Saccharomyces cerevisiae S288C: one gene and its partners. Changing the gene in region 1 together with any one later gene gives a genetic interaction. Each region holds a gene or a part of one and is shown in the gene's direction. Other genes may lie near its edges. The genes, in order: ATM1, IAI11, GLK1 and PUN1.

Region 1 (5,505 bases):
CCTGCTAAGAAACCAGTCACGGGATGCAGTGAGGGAGAAAATAAGGAATTTAGCCAGTCCACCCAATAACCCCATTTATGGACTGGAGTTGAAGTCTACCATTCCAGTGAAAAGGGATGGTGGTGTATTTGCCACATTTGTCGTTCCACCCAAGTATACAAAAGCTCAGGTAAATTCTCTAATCCAACAGAATACAGCCAGAGAATCCTCTAAAAACTTACTCTCGTACTTCACTCGAGCTTCTGCCTTCCCAGTAAAGGGTTCGCCTTGGATTGAGGATTTAAGAAGACTACCAAGTACCACTATAGTCATCAAGTTCCAAGGGCCCGCCTTAACAGAAGAAGAAATATACTCTTTATTCAGAAGATATGGGACAATTATTGATATTTTCCCTCCCACTGCTGCTAACAACAATGTGGCAAAGGTAAGATACCGTTCATTCCGTGGTGCCATTTCTGCCAAGAATTGTGTTTCCGGTATCGAAATTCATAATACCGTCTTACACATACAATACGAAAATATCAGAAGAGGCCATCTAGTTAGTAATTTTTTCACCAACCATACAAGGATTGCTATTCCAGTTTTATTTGCGCTACTTTCAATCTTTGCTGTTTTAGTGTTTGATCCTATAAGAGAATTTTCGATTGAACAGAAGATCACTCACAAATATTCTTTATCGTGGGACAATAAGTTTTGGAAACAACTGAAAACGCTAACCTCATCTACCATGACTTCTATCAAGTACTACTGGGGCGGCCCTGATGATAATCACCAAAGAAAGCATTTATGGGAGGAAAGAATAGAGAAAGTGAATGACCTGAAAATGTGGCTTGAAGAAAATAATAATACTTTTGTGGTTATAAGGGGGCCTAGAGGTTCAGGGAAACATGATTTGGTCATGCAACACACTTTGCAAAATAGAGCAAATGTTTTGTATTTGGATTGTGATAAATTGATTAAGTCCAGAACAGATCCTATGTTTTTAAAAAATGCCGCTAGTCAATTGGGTTATTTCCCAATATTCCCATGGATTGACTCTGTCACAGGTGTCCTTGATTTAACAGTGCAAGGATTAACAGGGCAAAAAACTGGGTTGTCTGAGACGAAGGAATCTCGGTTTAGAAACATGTTAACTACCTCATTGATGTCCATTAGACGTATTGCTCTCAAGAATTACAAGGCTTTTGTTTCCACCGGTGATGGGACAGTTAATGTTAAGGAAGAAGATTACCTACAGCAACATCCGGAAGCTAAACCCGTTATCGTCATAGATAGGTTTGAGGGCAAGTCGGAAATAAATGGATTTGTGTATAAGGAACTATCCGATTGGGCAGCTATGCTAGTTCAAATGAATATTGCTCATGTGATTTTCTTAACGGAAACCGTTGCATCCAACCAAAGATTGAGCGAATCACTACCCAATCAAGTCTTCAAAAACCTAATCCTATCAGATGCCTCAAAAGAGAATTCGAGGAACTATGTATTATCCCAATTGGAGGATTACTTATATTACAATAAAAAATCCAAGGGTGAAAACGTAAAAGAACCTGAATCAGAAAAGGAAACTGCTGAAAATAATGATTCTGATAGTGAGGCCGATACGAGTGTCAAAAAAGCTGAGGTTATTTTAAATGAAAAGGAATTACAGGAAATTGACGCTTCTTTAGAGCCATTGGGTGGTAGGATGTTAGACTTACAGGCATTTGTAAGAAGGGTAAAGTCAGGAGAAGAGCCCTCGGAAGCAGTAGACAAAATGATTGAACAGGCTTCTGAGCAAATAACTCAAATGTTTTTAAGTGACAAGATTGACAGCAATAAAAGTGCACAAGCCTGGGAATTAATCGAATTATTGAGTGCGAACCCAGTCATTCCATTCCATGAAATCGTTAACAAGCCATTATTCAAAGCCGCACCAGAAACGGGAATCATGGAATTGGAGAATAATGGTTTAATAACTGTATCTAGAGATAGGGGTGTTTTACAGGAAATCAGGCCTGCCAAACCGCTATACAGGGCAGCATTCACATACTTGATCAACGATCCTGAACTCGCAAAAGTGCTAAAAACCCGTTACTTATTAAAGGTTGTGGGTTTTGAAACTGGTAGAATCAAGAAATGGGAAGAAGAATTAAAACCTTTGGGGAAAGTTCCTGATCAGAAACTTTTCAAGACCAGATTGGACTATTTATCCGGTAAAATCAATGCCAGTAATGCAGTCATTACCAAATGTGAAGAAGAAATTAAAAACCTATCTAAGTGATGAAACAAAACTTACTATTCTGCTTTTCTGTACATATGTGTAAACCCTATATTGCTATACTCATCTATATTCTTTTGAAAATGTATAAAAGTGACGATTGGAGATGGTGCAATTTTCTACGCAGCATGAAAAATATCTAAGGAAGGTAAGGTACATACCAAGTAAGTCTTATAATATGTTGTTGTACCTCACTTTACCATTCTTAAAGTCTTTAAAAGAAATTACCTTACCCAATTTGCACAGCAAAGGTCACTGACCTATACGTGCCCTTCATCAGATTACATCACGTGAAATTTCACTGGGAAAGAGCGCGAGGGCTTTCCGATGACTTTCTACATTAATAATCGCAAACAAAGCAATCAGCACAGCAAAGAGTACAATTTCGAAAATTGCGACAGAGCAACGTAAGTATATCGTTGTTGATAGATTCCACTCCAACCTGCAAATGCTGCTTCTTCCAAGATGTCCTGTAATTGGGCGAATTGTAAGATCAAAATTTAGATCTGGTCTAATCCGGAACCATTCGCCCGTTATATTTACTGTGTCTAAGTTATCAACCCAGCGGCCTCTGTTATTCAATTCAGCTGTGAATTTATGGAATCAAGCACAAAAGGATATTACGCACAAAAAATCCGTCGAGCAATTCTCGTCGGCTCCAAAAGTGAAGACTCAGGTAAAAAAGACCAGCAAGGCCCCAACCCTCTCGGAACTGAAAATCTTGAAAGATCTATTTCGCTATATTTGGCCCAAAGGCAACAATAAAGTGAGGATAAGGGTACTGATTGCCCTTGGACTGTTGATATCCGCCAAAATTTTAAATGTTCAAGTACCTTTTTTTTTCAAGCAAACTATTGATTCAATGAATATAGCATGGGATGATCCTACAGTCGCCCTTCCGGCAGCGATTGGATTAACCATTCTTTGCTATGGTGTTGCAAGGTTCGGCTCTGTTTTATTCGGCGAACTGAGGAACGCCGTATTTGCCAAAGTGGCACAGAATGCCATTAGAACTGTGTCGCTACAAACTTTCCAGCACCTTATGAAGTTAGATTTGGGATGGCACTTGAGTAGACAAACGGGTGGTCTGACGAGGGCCATGGATAGAGGTACAAAGGGTATATCTCAAGTGTTAACGGCCATGGTATTCCACATTATCCCTATAAGTTTTGAAATATCTGTCGTTTGTGGGATTTTGACGTATCAATTCGGTGCGTCATTTGCCGCAATAACATTCAGTACAATGCTTTTATACTCCATTTTCACTATAAAGACGACCGCATGGAGGACACATTTTAGAAGGGATGCTAACAAGGCCGATAACAAAGCTGCCAGTGTGGCTTTAGATTCTTTAATTAATTTTGAGGCGGTAAAATACTTCAACAATGAAAAATATCTTGCAGATAAGTATAATGGCTCCTTGATGAACTATCGTGACTCTCAAATTAAAGTATCGCAATCTCTAGCATTTTTGAACTCCGGCCAAAATCTAATTTTTACTACTGCCCTAACTGCAATGATGTATATGGGTTGCACCGGCGTTATTGGTGGCAACTTGACAGTTGGTGACTTGGTTCTAATTAATCAGTTGGTTTTTCAACTATCAGTACCGCTAAATTTTCTTGGTAGTGTTTACAGAGATTTAAAGCAGTCTCTGATTGATATGGAAACGCTATTTAAGTTAAGAAAAAATGAAGTCAAGATTAAAAATGCCGAACGTCCCTTAATGCTTCCAGAAAATGTTCCCTACGATATTACTTTTGAGAACGTCACGTTTGGATATCATCCCGATAGGAAAATTTTAAAGAATGCCAGCTTTACCATCCCAGCAGGCTGGAAAACCGCAATAGTTGGGTCTTCGGGCAGTGGGAAGTCCACCATTTTAAAATTAGTCTTTAGATTTTATGATCCTGAAAGCGGAAGGATCCTCATAAACGGTAGAGATATTAAAGAATATGACATCGATGCCTTGAGGAAGGTGATTGGTGTGGTACCACAGGACACACCACTTTTCAATGACACTATCTGGGAAAATGTAAAGTTCGGTCGTATTGACGCAACCGACGAGGAAGTGATAACTGTAGTTGAAAAAGCCCAGCTAGCACCCTTAATCAAGAAATTACCACAAGGTTTTGACACCATCGTCGGGGAGCGAGGGTTGATGATCAGCGGTGGTGAAAAGCAAAGGCTGGCAATTGCAAGGGTACTATTGAAGAATGCAAGGATCATGTTTTTTGACGAGGCCACAAGCGCCTTGGACACACACACAGAACAAGCTCTCTTACGAACCATTAGAGATAACTTTACTTCGGGTTCGAGAACGAGTGTATACATCGCACATAGACTGAGGACAATTGCAGATGCAGACAAGATCATAGTCCTTGACAACGGAAGAGTAAGAGAGGAAGGTAAGCATCTTGAACTGTTGGCTATGCCAGGGTCATTGTACCGCGAACTTTGGACCATACAAGAAGATCTGGATCATTTAGAGAATGAACTAAAAGACCAGCAAGAACTATGAACGCTCGTAAGTAAATATTGATTTATACATGTATAAGTTTTTCAAGATTTAAGGAAAAAAGAAAAGTTATTATCTTTCTCCGCGGTTTTTCAATGACCCGATGTATTGACTCTTCCTGACCGAAAATAACAGGACAGAGTTAGAACGAACATGAATAATAAAATATAATCTGGGATCATGAATCCGAATGACTGCTCATGCGGCAAATGTCAGAGCTTCGGTGTATTTAAAGTTTGCTTACTTACAATTTCAATAATAGGTTTGTACTTTTCAGATTCTTATTATTAAGTCAAGGTAAAGTCCTTCGTTTTTTTTTTTTTCATTTTAGAAAAATTTCAACAGCCACCGTACAATTTTATTCACTTTTAAGTCATAGTTGCGAAGACATCGTCTTGAAAGTAGTAGATTTCGTTCTAATAAGTTTAGCAAAGAAAGAGGTACAGCAAACAGCAGAATAGAAAAAATGTGTGGTATTTTAGGTATTGTATTAGCAAACCAAACCACTCCAGTAGCTCCGGAGTTATGTGATGGATGCATTTTTCTACAACATCGTGGACAAGATGCAGCTGGTATAGCTACCTGTGGTTCTCGTGGTAGAATCTACCAATGTAAAGGTAATGGTATGGCTCGTGACGTATTTACCCAACAACGTGTTTCCGGTCTTGCTGGTTCCATGGGTATTGCCCACTTGAGATATCCTACAGCCGGGTCTTCGGCTAATTCAGAA
Region 2 (4,129 bases), on another chromosome or scaffold:
GACTGAGTTTGTAAAGTTATTGAGTCCTTTGCCGTCGTCACTATTAGAAACGCTTTTCAATTTATCGAAAAGTATATATTTCATTGCAGAAGCGCAAAATATCGACCGGATACTAGAGTGCTTGAGCATAGAATGGATAGCTTGCCACCCGAACACACATTGGAAGTCAGGCTATAAGTCATGTCATATAGTCTTATTTTCCCTGTTGATCCTTAATTCGGATTTGCACAACAACTTTCAAGTTGACCATAAAAAGATTAAGTTTTCCATGGTTGCATTTATCAACAATACACTGAGGGCACTAAGAGAGGAAAATGAATACGAAGAATTGAAAATATACTCCCGCGAACATTTGATCATCGAAGAACTTTCCGAATACTATAAAACGTTAAATGAAACGCCTTTACCGTTATGCACAGAATCTAGAACATCAATAAATATATCAGATAACCAATCTTCCTTGAAAAGGTTCTCTACTCTAGGATCACGGGAATTTAGTACATCAAATTTACGTAGTGTTAACTCTAATTCTACTACACTATATTCAAGAGATGGTCAAGTATCTGTACGAGAAATGAGCGCAAAATCAAATAAAAACTTTCACAATAATCACCCCATGGATGCACTCTACCTTAAAGAGTCTTTTGATGACGGTTTAATTACCGAAAACGGCTCCAGTTGGTTCATGGACGATTTAATTCTTATAAGCAAGAAATCTTTACCACGTAAATATTCTAAAAGAGACAAAGATCAAGTGGCGGCACCAAAAATGACCTCTAAGAGAAACAAATCGTTCTTCGGATGGCTAAAACCATCTAAAACGACTACACTTATTGAGCACACATCTAGAAGGACTTCTTTATCGTATTTGAATAAGGATTCTGAATGGGAGAGGGTGAAAATACAGGTCAAGGAGGGCAGAATTTTTATTTTCAAAATTAAACCAGATGTTAAGGATATCATCCAATCAAGTGAAACAGACAGTGCTACCATCGACTATTTCAAAGATATCAGTAGCTCTTATTTTGCTTACTCACTGCTTGAAGCTGAAGCACATGTCGTGCAAGATAATATAATTATAGGTAGTGGAGCAATGAAATCAAATGTGTGTAACAAAAACACCAAGAGGAAAAGTGGCAACTTTACCGTTAGTTTTCCAGAGAATATCAACGGACCAAAGCTTGTTCTGGAGTTCCAGACGAGAAGTGTTGAAGAAGCCCACAAGTTTATGGACTGTATCAACTTCTGGGCAGGTAGGATTTCTCCAGTTCCTTTAACACAATTCGAAGCCGTATCTAACGCAGAATATGGATGGAGTGACAAGATCTTGACAGAGCACGCTTCCCTCAATCTTAAAAATATTGTTGTAAGTGAATGGAAGCCACTATTGGGGCTAGAGCTACTATACGAAGATGCGAAAGATGTAGAGATGGTCGAACTAAAAGAAAGGCTAAAGGAATTGATGAACTTCACCAGACAGCTTGGTATATGGATAGATAAACATAACGAAATAAAGGATAAGCTGGTCGAAATTTGGAGCTTTGACGATAACTATTTTGAAGCAGTCATGAATAATTGGAATTCGAGATATTTGTATATGAATAATCAATATAAGAAACGACTGAGCTACTTGAAAGCTTTGCAAAAAGCCATGGGTTCTGTTCAGTTCTAAGTATATTTAAAGATATAAATATAAAGACTGCGCTGAAGAAATATAAACTTGAAAACTGTACTCTGCCTTTTATTTACAAGGGATATTGAGATGATTTGTGTGAATGAAGTAGCGACAGAAAAAAAGCTTTTATTTCGAGTTCGCATCATTGTCACTTTCCTGCTTTTTCTTGGCGTACTGTCTATCTAAGATAGTCTTTAATATAGCGTCCTCGCCATATTCTTCTTCCTCAATTTTCTTCCATCTCTTTTCTACATCAGCTCTCTTTATTCTACTTTCAATGACAGCACGTTTCTTGTTATTCAAACTTGCCTCCTTGAGACACTTGTTCAAAGCATCCTTTTCGTTGTTACAAAGGCCAAATATTCTCTTGTAATATTCCTTTTGATGGCATTTATCGAGTGCATTGATGAAGTCCAAACAGGCTAAAATGAAGAAGGGGAGAATACAATGTTAGTAAGTCGGAGCACAGAAAAAGGCAAATATATGAAGTAAAATCTGGATACTTACAATGAAAACGTTCAGCTTCTAACTGTGGATGCATGTTGTAGTACTTGTCTTATCTTGCTTTTGTTCAACTGCACTTGTAAATCAGTGAATGTTATTGGACGCGCAGCGATTTTTTAATAGGTCTTTCTCTATTAATGTAATATGCGAATTGAAACATAATGTAAACACAAGAAGAAAATTCGAAATAAAGGACTGGCCAACAATAATGTTAGTGAGCAGAAACGACAAGCCCAAAATCAGTAGTGAGGAAGTCACACATTTTATAGACGACTATAAAAAGAGGAGGAAAACTCAGATGACACGATTCTTCGGAATCACTATTTTTACACTTATAACATGTAGAATTGCCATGAAGAAAATGATAACTGCAAAAGGTATGCATAGGCAATAACTTCGGCCTCATACTCAAAGAACACGTTTACTAACATAACTTATTTACATAGTGCCATTGAACACTTTTCAAGCAAACTACGCCAGCCGGACGCAGACAATAACACACACACAAAAGAGTCTTGCAGGTTCTCTTTTAGCGGCAACGGGCATGACACTAGGTATATTTGGTATGGGCATCACAGGGACATGTTGGAGCTGGGATGTTTCATCATTTCAGGAACTAAAGCAACGTCTGGAAAGGCGTGCCAACAACGAATTTGTAGTGACAAACATGCCTCTGGATAAAAGAAGCCAGCAAGTAGTGGACAGCTTAGTTAAGACACACAATTCATCTCTTTGTAAATAGTGTTATACCATAGTAGTAGTTTCAATAATATATTCCACTACTTATATGTGTTACCCGCATTAGAACTCTTATTGGTGGCGAAAATCGATGGCAATAAAGAACGGAAGGGGTTTAATAGTTGTATGCTTAACATATTTCGATTTAAATATATAAGAAACGTCGGTAGCACAACAATTAACTCATTATTTAGGTATGGCGGAAATACCTGATGAAACCATCCAGCAGTTCATGGCATTGACCAATGTGTCGCATAACATAGCCGTTCAATATCTCTCTGAATTTGGAGATTTAAATGAAGCACTAAATTCCTATTATGCTTCTCAAACGGATGACCAAAAGGATAGAAGAGAGGAAGCACATTGGAACAGACAGCAGGAGAAGGCCCTCAAGCAAGAAGCCTTCTCCACCAACTCTTCGAATAAAGCCATAAATACGGAGCACGTTGGTGGGTTATGTCCAAAACCAGGATCCTCACAAGGTAGCAACGAGTACTTGAAAAGGAAAGGTTCTACCTCTCCTGAACCAACCAAGGGTAGTAGCCGCTCTGGAAGTGGTAACAACTCCAGGTTTATGAGCTTTTCGGATATGGTAAGAGGTCAAGCTGATGATGACGATGAAGATCAACCGAGAAATACTTTTGCTGGTGGTGAAACATCCGGCTTAGAGGTTACAGATCCTTCAGATCCTAATTCATTACTGAAGGATTTGCTGGAAAAAGCGAGAAGGGGTGGTCAAATGGGCGCTGAAAACGGATTCCGTGATGACGAAGACCATGAAATGGGTGCCAATAGGTTTACTGGAAGAGGTTTTAGATTAGGGTCAACCATCGACGCAGCAGATGAAGTCGTAGAAGACAACACTTCACAATCACAACGTAGACCAGAAAAAGTCACAAGAGAAATTACATTTTGGAAGGAAGGTTTTCAAGTGGCCGATGGTCCGCTTTATCGCTATGATGATCCTGCGAACAGTTTCTATTTGAGCGAGTTAAATCAAGGGAGGGCTCCATTAAAGCTCTTAGATGTGCAATTTGGACAAGAAGTTGAAGTTAATGTATATAAAAAATTAGATGAGTCTTATAAAGCTCCGACGAGAAAACTGGGCGGTTTTTCAGGCCAGGGCCAAAGACTAGGATCTCCTATCCCGGGTGAATCGTCACCTGCGGAGGTTCCAAAGAATGAGACACCCGCTGCTCAGGAACAACCCAT
Region 3 (4,854 bases), on another chromosome or scaffold:
CAATCAAAACGTCGGATGTGGCGTTGGCGTAGGTATCAGCTAGTTCTTGGTAAGTTGGGGCCAATCTCTTACAGTGACCACACCATGGGGCATAGTACAAAACAAGAACGTCCTTCTTTGGGTCGTTGACGATTTCGTCATGGTTCTTACCGACCAATTGGAAGACAGAGGAATCTTGGTTCTCGAAGATCTCTTGGGACTTCACGATTGGGGAGGCATCACCTTTCAAGAAGTCCTTAACCAAAGATTCAATAGCCTTAGACTCCAACACGATCTTGTCGCTCAATTCGTCAAACGCCTCTTCAGAGAGTTGAGGCAAACCGTACTTCAAGTCTTCAGTCATGTCGTGGATGGCAAATAGAGGGAATTGTTCCTTCATGTTCAAGTTGCCGGCGTGTCTGCCGAATTTTCTGGCATCGATGCTAACAAAGTTCATTAGACCTCTGTTCTTTTTGGCCAACTCGGTAAAGAGAGGCTTGTATTCTTCCAATTCTTCCTCGTCATTGTAGAATAAGTAACCCAAAGGCAAACCGCTTTCGACGTATTGGGCGAAAACGGAACCGTCGATTTCACCAAAGTAGGGCAAGGCTTCCACTTGCAACCATTTTTCAAAAACATCAGCGTCAGCGATATCGGCTTTCTTACCGTTGTATACTACAGGCTCGTCCATGGCGGAGGGCAAGTAAATAGAAAGCTTGAAATCATCGTCTGCGTTTTCAGCGGAGACAAAGTCGTAGTCGTTGAAGTGTTTGTTGGCCATGGAGTAAAAGGTGGCGTTGAAGTCGGCGTCAATCTTACCGGATTGGACGATAACTGGAGTGACAAAAGTCTCGTTAGCAAGGTAAGCTGGTAGATCAGCAACAACGGCGACAGCCGGTTGGCTTTGCTTGATCATGAATTGGACAATGGCCTCGGCAGTTCTAGGTCCCTCGTAATCGATCGAGTTGTTAACATCGCTGTTTTTGAAAATCTTCAAGCTTGGGAACCCTGGAATGTTGTGTTCCATACACAGATCCTGGTTTTCAGTACAGTCGATCTGGGCCAAGGTAATGTTTTTCTCAACTAAAGTCTCGGCGGCTTTAACGTATTCAGGAGCCATGTTCTTACAGTGGCCACACCATGGAGCAAAAAACTCCGCAAGCACCAAGTCGTGCGACTGAATGTACTCATTGAAGGAGTCGGTGGCCAACTTAACGACAGCGGAGTCTTCAGGGGCCACAGCCTCTTGTTGGGCGAAAACAGAGGAGGCGAGCAGCAGGGAGGACCATGACAGGACGGCACCAGCAGAAAACTTCATAACGGGATAGATGTATGTTTTTCTTTATGTAGAGCTTGGCAGCTTTAAAATTACCAATTAGACATGCTGCTTGCAACAAGAAAATGCACGCGTAACAAAATATATATATATATATATATATATATGTATGTCCATACGGGTTTTTCGTTTTGTTGTGGTTGTAACAGCACAACAAAATGCTACACGGTGGCAAATTGGAAAAAGAGACTAGTGAGAGAAAAGGGAAAAAGAGGCGCCGCCCGACAGGGTAACATATTATCACGTGCAGCCCAGGATAATTTTCAGGACACGTGTTTCGAAAGGTTTGTCGCTCCGAAAAAATCAAAAAAAACAAAAAACGGGAAATAACAATAACGACAAAAATGGAAAAAAAAAAAATTTTAGACGCGGCGCTTGCACCCCGCATTATAAGTGGTGTGCCGACGGACGGTCAACCCCTTTCAGGGGGCCCCCTATCTTGGGCGTGGTGTCACACCACGCTCAAACGGTGGGCACTAATGAAAACGCGCCCATATAAATATCCGCTATCAACAGAACCCCCAACCCCCCCATCAGTGCCCAACTCAGCTTCCGTAAACCACAACACCACCACTAATACAACTCTATCATACACAAGATGTCATTCGACGACTTACACAAAGCCACTGAGAGAGCGGTCATCCAGGCCGTGGACCAGATCTGCGACGATTTCGAGGTTACCCCCGAGAAGCTGGACGAATTAACTGCTTACTTCATCGAACAAATGGAAAAAGGTCTAGCTCCACCAAAGGAAGGCCACACATTGGCCTCGGACAAAGGTCTTCCTATGATTCCGGCGTTCGTCACCGGGTCACCCAACGGGACGGAGCGCGGTGTTTTACTAGCCGCCGACCTGGGTGGTACCAATTTCCGTATATGTTCTGTTAACTTGCATGGAGATCATACTTTCTCCATGGAGCAAATGAAGTCCAAGATTCCCGATGATTTGCTAGACGATGAGAACGTCACATCTGACGACCTGTTTGGGTTTCTAGCACGTCGTACACTGGCCTTTATGAAGAAGTATCACCCGGACGAGTTGGCCAAGGGTAAAGACGCCAAGCCCATGAAACTGGGGTTCACTTTCTCATACCCTGTAGACCAGACCTCTCTAAACTCCGGGACATTGATCCGTTGGACCAAGGGTTTCCGCATCGCGGACACCGTCGGAAAGGATGTCGTGCAATTGTACCAGGAGCAATTAAGCGCTCAGGGTATGCCTATGATCAAGGTTGTTGCATTAACCAACGACACCGTCGGAACGTACCTATCGCATTGCTACACGTCCGATAACACGGACTCAATGACGTCCGGAGAAATCTCGGAGCCGGTCATCGGATGTATTTTCGGTACCGGTACCAATGGGTGCTATATGGAGGAGATCAACAAGATCACGAAGTTGCCACAGGAGTTGCGTGACAAGTTGATAAAGGAGGGTAAGACACACATGATCATCAATGTCGAATGGGGGTCCTTCGATAATGAGCTCAAGCACTTGCCTACTACTAAGTATGACGTCGTAATTGACCAGAAACTGTCAACGAACCCGGGATTTCACTTGTTTGAAAAACGTGTCTCAGGGATGTTCTTGGGTGAGGTGTTGCGTAACATTTTAGTGGACTTGCACTCGCAAGGCTTGCTTTTGCAACAGTACAGGTCCAAGGAACAACTTCCTCGCCACTTGACTACACCTTTCCAGTTGTCATCCGAAGTGCTGTCGCATATTGAAATTGACGACTCGACAGGTCTACGTGAAACAGAGTTGTCATTATTACAGAGTCTCAGACTGCCCACCACTCCAACAGAGCGTGTTCAAATTCAAAAATTGGTGCGCGCGATTTCTAGGAGATCTGCGTATTTAGCCGCCGTGCCGCTTGCCGCGATATTGATCAAGACAAATGCTTTGAACAAGAGATATCATGGTGAAGTCGAGATCGGTTGTGATGGTTCCGTTGTGGAATACTACCCCGGTTTCAGATCTATGCTGAGACACGCCTTAGCCTTGTCACCCTTGGGTGCCGAGGGTGAGAGGAAGGTGCACTTGAAGATTGCCAAGGATGGTTCCGGAGTGGGTGCCGCCTTGTGTGCGCTTGTAGCATGATCTTTTTACATTTTTTTGGTTTGTGTACGTATCCCACCGTACTTACCATCTTCTCTCCTTTATATATATATATATATATGTATATTTTCAGTGTATATACATACATTCTTATACAATACCGTATAAGAACGTATGTATGTATGTATGATTTTCTCACATTAATGAACAATATCATCGGAAACGGGCCTTTGGTTTTTAAGGGAAAATGAAGAACAATAAATGCCTTGCTAGGTCTTCCTTTATCATTTTTGGAAGTCAAATATGAAAAACACTTCCAAGGGGGCGTACTACTTCAACTAATAAAATGTCACACACTAATAAGATCGCATACGTGTTGAACAATGACACGGAGGAAACAGCCTCGCCCTCTTCCGTTGGTTGTTTTGACAAGAAACAGCTCACTAAATTACTGATACATACTCTAAAGGAGCTGGGCTACGACTCCGCCGCTAACCAGTTACTGCTAGAGAGCGGCGGATATCAAAATGAGTCTAACCACATCCAGACTTTCTTCAAACTCATCAAGACCGGCCAATTCCATCTTATTAATTGGCAGATTGTTTGCTCGCTGCCCCTTGCCCATAGCTCTCCGCTAAGGTCCGAATGGCTTCAAAGGCTGCTCATTCCCACGCCGACGCCCGCCACGACTTCACTTTTCGACCACATGCTCCTGCAACTGCAATACCTGCAACAGCTGATGAGCTCTGTAAATTCATCTACTTGTTCGGACGCAGAGATCGCCACGCTCAGAAATTACGTAGAGATCATGATTCTAGTTAATAGACAAATATTCCTCGAATTCTTCCATCCAGTCACAAATTCCGCCTCTCACAAGGGCCCTCACACTGCACTGCCCGTCCTGTATTTGCGCAAAATCCTCAAAAACTTCATCGAGATATGGGATTCCCTGCTGGTGTCTAACGATCAGTTCCTAAATGAAGAAAACATCTTCAATCCGGAAACGACCTTGAGAGAACTGTCGACGTACCTGACCAACCCAAAACTAACCGCGCAGTTGAACCTCGAGCGAGACCATCTGATTGACGCCATCTCCAAATATATCGATCCGAACGAACTCGTTCCCAAGGGTCGTCTCTTGCATCTCTTGAAACAGGCCATCAAGTATCAACAATCACAAGACATTTTTAATATCATCGATCCGGATGATGACGCCTCTTTCTCCTCTCCACCCCACCGGATCAACCTTTTGCAGGATAACTTCTCACACGATCTGACTGTGACCTTTCAAGAATGGAAGACTATCCAAGACACCACAGACGAAATTTGGTTTTTGACATTTTCGCCCAATGGCAAGTATTTGGCTTCTGCGACTTCCGAGTCTTCAAGAGGCTACTTCATTACTGTTTATGATGTGGAACAAGACTTCAAAATTTATAAGACTTGCGTGAGCTTGTCACAATCCGTATTGTACCTCATG
Region 4 (3,883 bases), on another chromosome or scaffold:
AGGACGAGGACGATAATGCCGAGTGCGAGCTCTTGTTTCTAGCCAGTGAATTTTTTTCTAGCTCAATATGGACCCTAGAATCATGAAAGTTTAGCCTGTTCAGCTTTGATCGTACTTTGGATGCATTAGGCAATCTGTGGCCGCAAATCTCGCAATTTCCTATTTGAGGATGATTAGCAAAAGTACAGGCGGGGCAAATGTTCTCAGAGTTCACTCCGAACTGATTCTGTGGGTTGGCGTTCGGGTCGATTGCATTAGAACAATTTATAGACGACTTGGTGAGCTCATAGTCCGCTGGCACACCGCAATTGATACAAATGGGTGTAGGTAGAGTGTCTTTAGTGAATTCCCCCTGCGTTTCGTTCGAAACCATACAGATGGGGCAGACCCACGTCGAAACAACGTCGGCACTTGCTGTTTCCGCACTTTTACCAAGTTCATCCTTACTGGAGGGGTCCTTGAAAAACAGGATCAGACGAGGTGATCTGGTCAAGAAGCCAGATGAATAGTTTACATACGCTAGATCGTCCAATTCCAACCCAAGCGAGTTCTGAGTGGGCTTTGCATCGTCGATGTAGATAATTCTTTGTGACGTTAAAAAGATTCTGCCCCTCTGTCGCTGTAGAATCTTAGATTTGCCATGGTAAAGACCTACGGACTGATCGATAAAGATATCTTTTTCACCTTCTCGAAGAAGAGGTTGGCCCGATGACGTAGTTTCCACATAATGCCAGTACTCCATCTTTTGAAAAAAAAAGAATGACTTTCAAAACACACTTCCTGATTCCTAGCCGAGGTCCCCTATTCTATCTTGGATGACCTTTTCTCTGCTTTTTTGTTTTTCAGTCTCCATCTTTTCCAGATGAAACATGTGAAACCCTTTTTCCTCTTCGTTGATCCTAAAAAAAGCGCGTCTGGAAAACAAGGCGAAGCTTCCTCACATGGAAAAGGCTTCTTAATATGTCGCTACGCCTCATTCCCATTGCATACAGAAAGCAAAGTAGTGCGTTTTGCGAACGTCACAGATCAAAAGTTTGGCCATGCATTGTCATTCTTTTTTTCTTACATACACTGCACCAGACATGTCGGTTCCGCCCCGCTAACGGTTAGTCAGCCACACATTGACGTACACTGTGAACAGCCTATTTCTTTCCATGTATCTCAGTGCCCAGCTTATGAGAACTGTCACAGCCTCCCACTTGACCCTCAGAGCCCTCTCCACTCCCCCCCTCTTTCAACATCGCCAGATAGCCGCCGTTGAATGGTGCGGGACAACCCGGCCTGGCCTGGCCAGGCAAAAAAGGACGCAGCACGCCTCGAGCGTTATTTCCAAATCGGGCGTACTATCAGCCAAGCCCAGCTCGGTATTTTTAGCGCTTCTCGCAGGAAAATTGGCTGAGAAGTATATATACGCGAGAATGTTGCTCTTCCATGTCTCAGTAGTCAATGAGTGTCCAGTGGTGTTTCATTCTGGACCAGTTGTTTGGAAGTAGAACTAAAAGAAACTAGATCAAGATCATACAACGCTGCGCAGTAGTGAAACTTGATTAAAGCAATAGAGAACTATTAAGAAAAAAACAAACACATCATCGAAGGACGCTATAAGCATGAGGAATTTTTTCACGTTATTTTTTGCAGCTATATTTTCGCTAGGAGCACTTATATTAGCCATTGTTGCATGCGCAGGATCAACGAAAAATTACAGTCCCATAAATAAAATTTACTGTGCAGAATTGGATCTGTCGCAGATGAAGGTATCGACGGTGCTCCCTTCTTTGAGTTCTGCTACGCTATCTTCGTTGGGCCTGCCCTCATATATAAATATAGGGCTTTGGTCGTACTGTACAGTGGACTCCTCGCATAACATCCAATCATGTTCTTCGCCTCACGGTATCCAGAATTTTAACCTATCGTCATTAGTGTATGACAATATCAACAACAATGAGGCTCTGGAGCTTATGGATTCCGTGGCCAGTGTTGTTTTGCCCGAAAAACTAAAAAGTAAAATGACATACTACAACAATTTGGTCAAGTGTATGTTCATTACCATTCTTATTGGTATTGTCTTGACCTTTGTGAATCTAGTGTTCAACGTATTGCGCTGGATCATCCACATAAGGCCGCTAACGTGGTTTGGTGCCTTTTTTTCATTTTTCGCCTTTGCCGCCCTATTAGTCAGTATAGGTTCGTGTTTGGGCACTTACTCATACATCAAATACATCCTAAAGCATAACTATAGTGATTACGGTATTTCAATGAGCATTGGTAGGAACTACCAGGGTTTGATGTGGGGGGCTGTCGTTGGAGCATTACTGAATTTCATTCTATGGTGTAGCGTGAGATCGAGGCCCACCGTCATCTATGCGAACGCTCCAATTGAGGAAAAACCATTGATTTGAATTTGAAAAAGGCAAGGTTATTAATTAATTTTTGTGTTCCGTTTCATATTAAATATGATTAAAATATATTGTCTATATACAATTCAGAAAATTATAATGAAGAAAATTAAAAGGATGGAGAATTGAAAAAATTTACGGGGTGATGTTGCATGATCTTCTTTTTATTATTTTACCTTGCAAAGTTTTTTTCAGCATCAATGGGGCTTTCGTGTTCTTCAATGATTCTTGAGGTAGTAGAGTCACTTTCTTGAACAGCTTTCTCAGCTTCCACGATGGCAGCTCCCTTTCTGCTGCTCCACCAGCAGTATGCAATGCAGAGAAATACAAGGACGGCAAATACAAATCCAGACCACATTAGGCCATAAAATGGAGAAGAGCCAGAAATAATGACATCGTAATTGTCCTTCTTGGAGCCGGATTTCATCATATTAAGGATGACGCTAAAGATTGTGCTTCCCAACCCGCTGAAAATACATATCCAACAGGAAATAAAGCCCAATGCCAACCATAATTTTTGACTCACCACGGAACGTCTACTTAGTAGCAACAAGAATACCATTAAGAAGAAGGATGTGATTATGCACATTAAGTTCATAGCTAAAGCTGCTTTCACTGCTGGGACATACATGTGTTGTCTGTCTTGTAATTCACCATCTAAATGCAAATCGTCCTTACCGATGTTCAGGGCATCCATATAAGGTTTAAAGTCCGAGCCTTCAATGTTGTTGTAAACAATCGACCGGAAATCCATGTTTTGAACAGCGTGTGACTTGCTACACGAGTACATTGTTCTGTTTAAGTGAGCACGACACATTGTGAAAATGGACAAACGGTATATGACAGGGATGTGTAGATATTCAAGGATAGAAGGAGTCATTTCCTTGAGTTGTTCTGGTGTGATAGTTGTCATGTTTACAGCAGAGTTTAAAATTTTCAACATGGGCATAAATGTAGCGGCATTAGTTTCTGCCCATTTGGTGATATTAACCAGAGAAGAGAAACTTGACACGGGGTCGCTTGACGCAGCTAATAGGCTGAACAAGTATGGAACGTACTTAAGTAATACGGTGTTATTGGCCAATTGGGATTCCAAAGTAGGGATTATGGAAACAACTGTGGATGCGTTAGCACTTGCAGAAAGGATTTCATCAAGTGCCACCAATTGGTTAGTAGAGGAAGCGGCTTCTTTAGAGAGGGCCAAACTTTCGACAGATGTTAGCAGCTCTGTTTGGTTTGTAGTGTAATTCAACAAGTCAGTCAAAGCACCCATGGCAGCTTTAGCGGAAGATGATTGGGTAATGTTTTCGGCAATCATAGTGCTCAATACGGATAATGTTACATTTTGAGATGTAGTTTCATCAAACAGAGTAACAACAGCTTGGACAGCTGGTTTTAAACTCGAAGGAACGAGGGAGCCTAATTGCATAATAGTTTCAGTAGCATTGCCACCTTCCGCAAGACTGGTTTTTAGACTAGAAAACAAT

What was found.
Region 2: mutations in ATM1 (region 1) and IAI11 together harm fitness more than expected from each alone (negative genetic interaction), as found in Saccharomyces cerevisiae (one large-scale study listed by BioGRID).
Region 3: mutations in ATM1 (region 1) and GLK1 together harm fitness more than expected from each alone (negative genetic interaction), as found in Saccharomyces cerevisiae (one large-scale study listed by BioGRID).
Region 4: mutations in ATM1 (region 1) and PUN1 together harm fitness more than expected from each alone (negative genetic interaction), as found in Saccharomyces cerevisiae (one large-scale study listed by BioGRID).

The regions. Positions count from the first base shown.
Region 1 is NC_001145.3:866,828-872,332, reverse strand, and holds ATM1 (ATP-binding cassette Fe/S cluster precursor transporter ATM1), read left to right. Parts: upstream 1-2,705; coding exon 2,706-4,778; downstream 4,779-5,505. Other genes in the region: YME2 (Yme2p), read left to right, coding at 1-2,260; ADE4 (amidophosphoribosyltransferase), read left to right, coding at 5,242-5,505. UniProt on the Saccharomyces cerevisiae protein: Performs an essential function in the generation of cytoplasmic iron-sulfur proteins by mediating the ATP-dependent export of Fe/S cluster precursors synthesized by NFS1 and other mitochondrial proteins. Hydrolyzes ATP.
Region 2 is NC_001134.8:108,324-112,452, forward strand, and holds IAI11 (Iai11p), read left to right. Parts: upstream 1-2,270; coding exon 2,271-2,556; intron 2,557-2,625; coding exon 2,626-2,921; downstream 2,922-4,129. Other genes in the region: Arf family guanine nucleotide exchange factor YEL1, read left to right, coding at 1-1,672; CMC2 (Cmc2p), read right to left, coding at 1,802-2,097, 2,183-2,216; protein phosphatase regulator SHP1, read left to right, coding at 3,114-4,129.
Region 3 is NC_001135.5:48,925-53,778, forward strand, and holds GLK1 (glucokinase), read left to right. Parts: upstream 1-1,913; coding exon 1,914-3,416; downstream 3,417-4,854. Other genes in the region: protein disulfide isomerase PDI1, read right to left, coding at 1-1,297; YCL042W (uncharacterized protein), read left to right, coding at 1,660-2,019; glucose-induced degradation complex subunit GID7, read left to right, coding at 3,721-4,854. UniProt on the Saccharomyces cerevisiae protein: Two isoenzymes, hexokinase-1 and hexokinase-2, can phosphorylate keto- and aldohexoses in yeast, whereas a third isoenzyme, GLK, is specific for aldohexoses. All glucose phosphorylating enzymes are involved in glucose uptake.
Region 4 is NC_001144.5:951,869-955,751, reverse strand, and holds PUN1 (Pun1p), read left to right. Parts: upstream 1-1,607; coding exon 1,608-2,399; downstream 2,400-3,883. Other genes in the region: ESCRT-II subunit protein VPS36, read right to left, coding at 1-742; YLR415C (uncharacterized protein), read left to right, coding at 1,155-1,493; INA1 (Ina1p), read right to left, coding at 2,569-3,883. UniProt on the Saccharomyces cerevisiae protein: Contributes to the wild-type cellular response to nitrogen stress through signaling pathways that regulate the expression of genes involved in amino acid biosynthesis. Required for wild-type filamentous growth, cell growth, and cell-cell adhesion.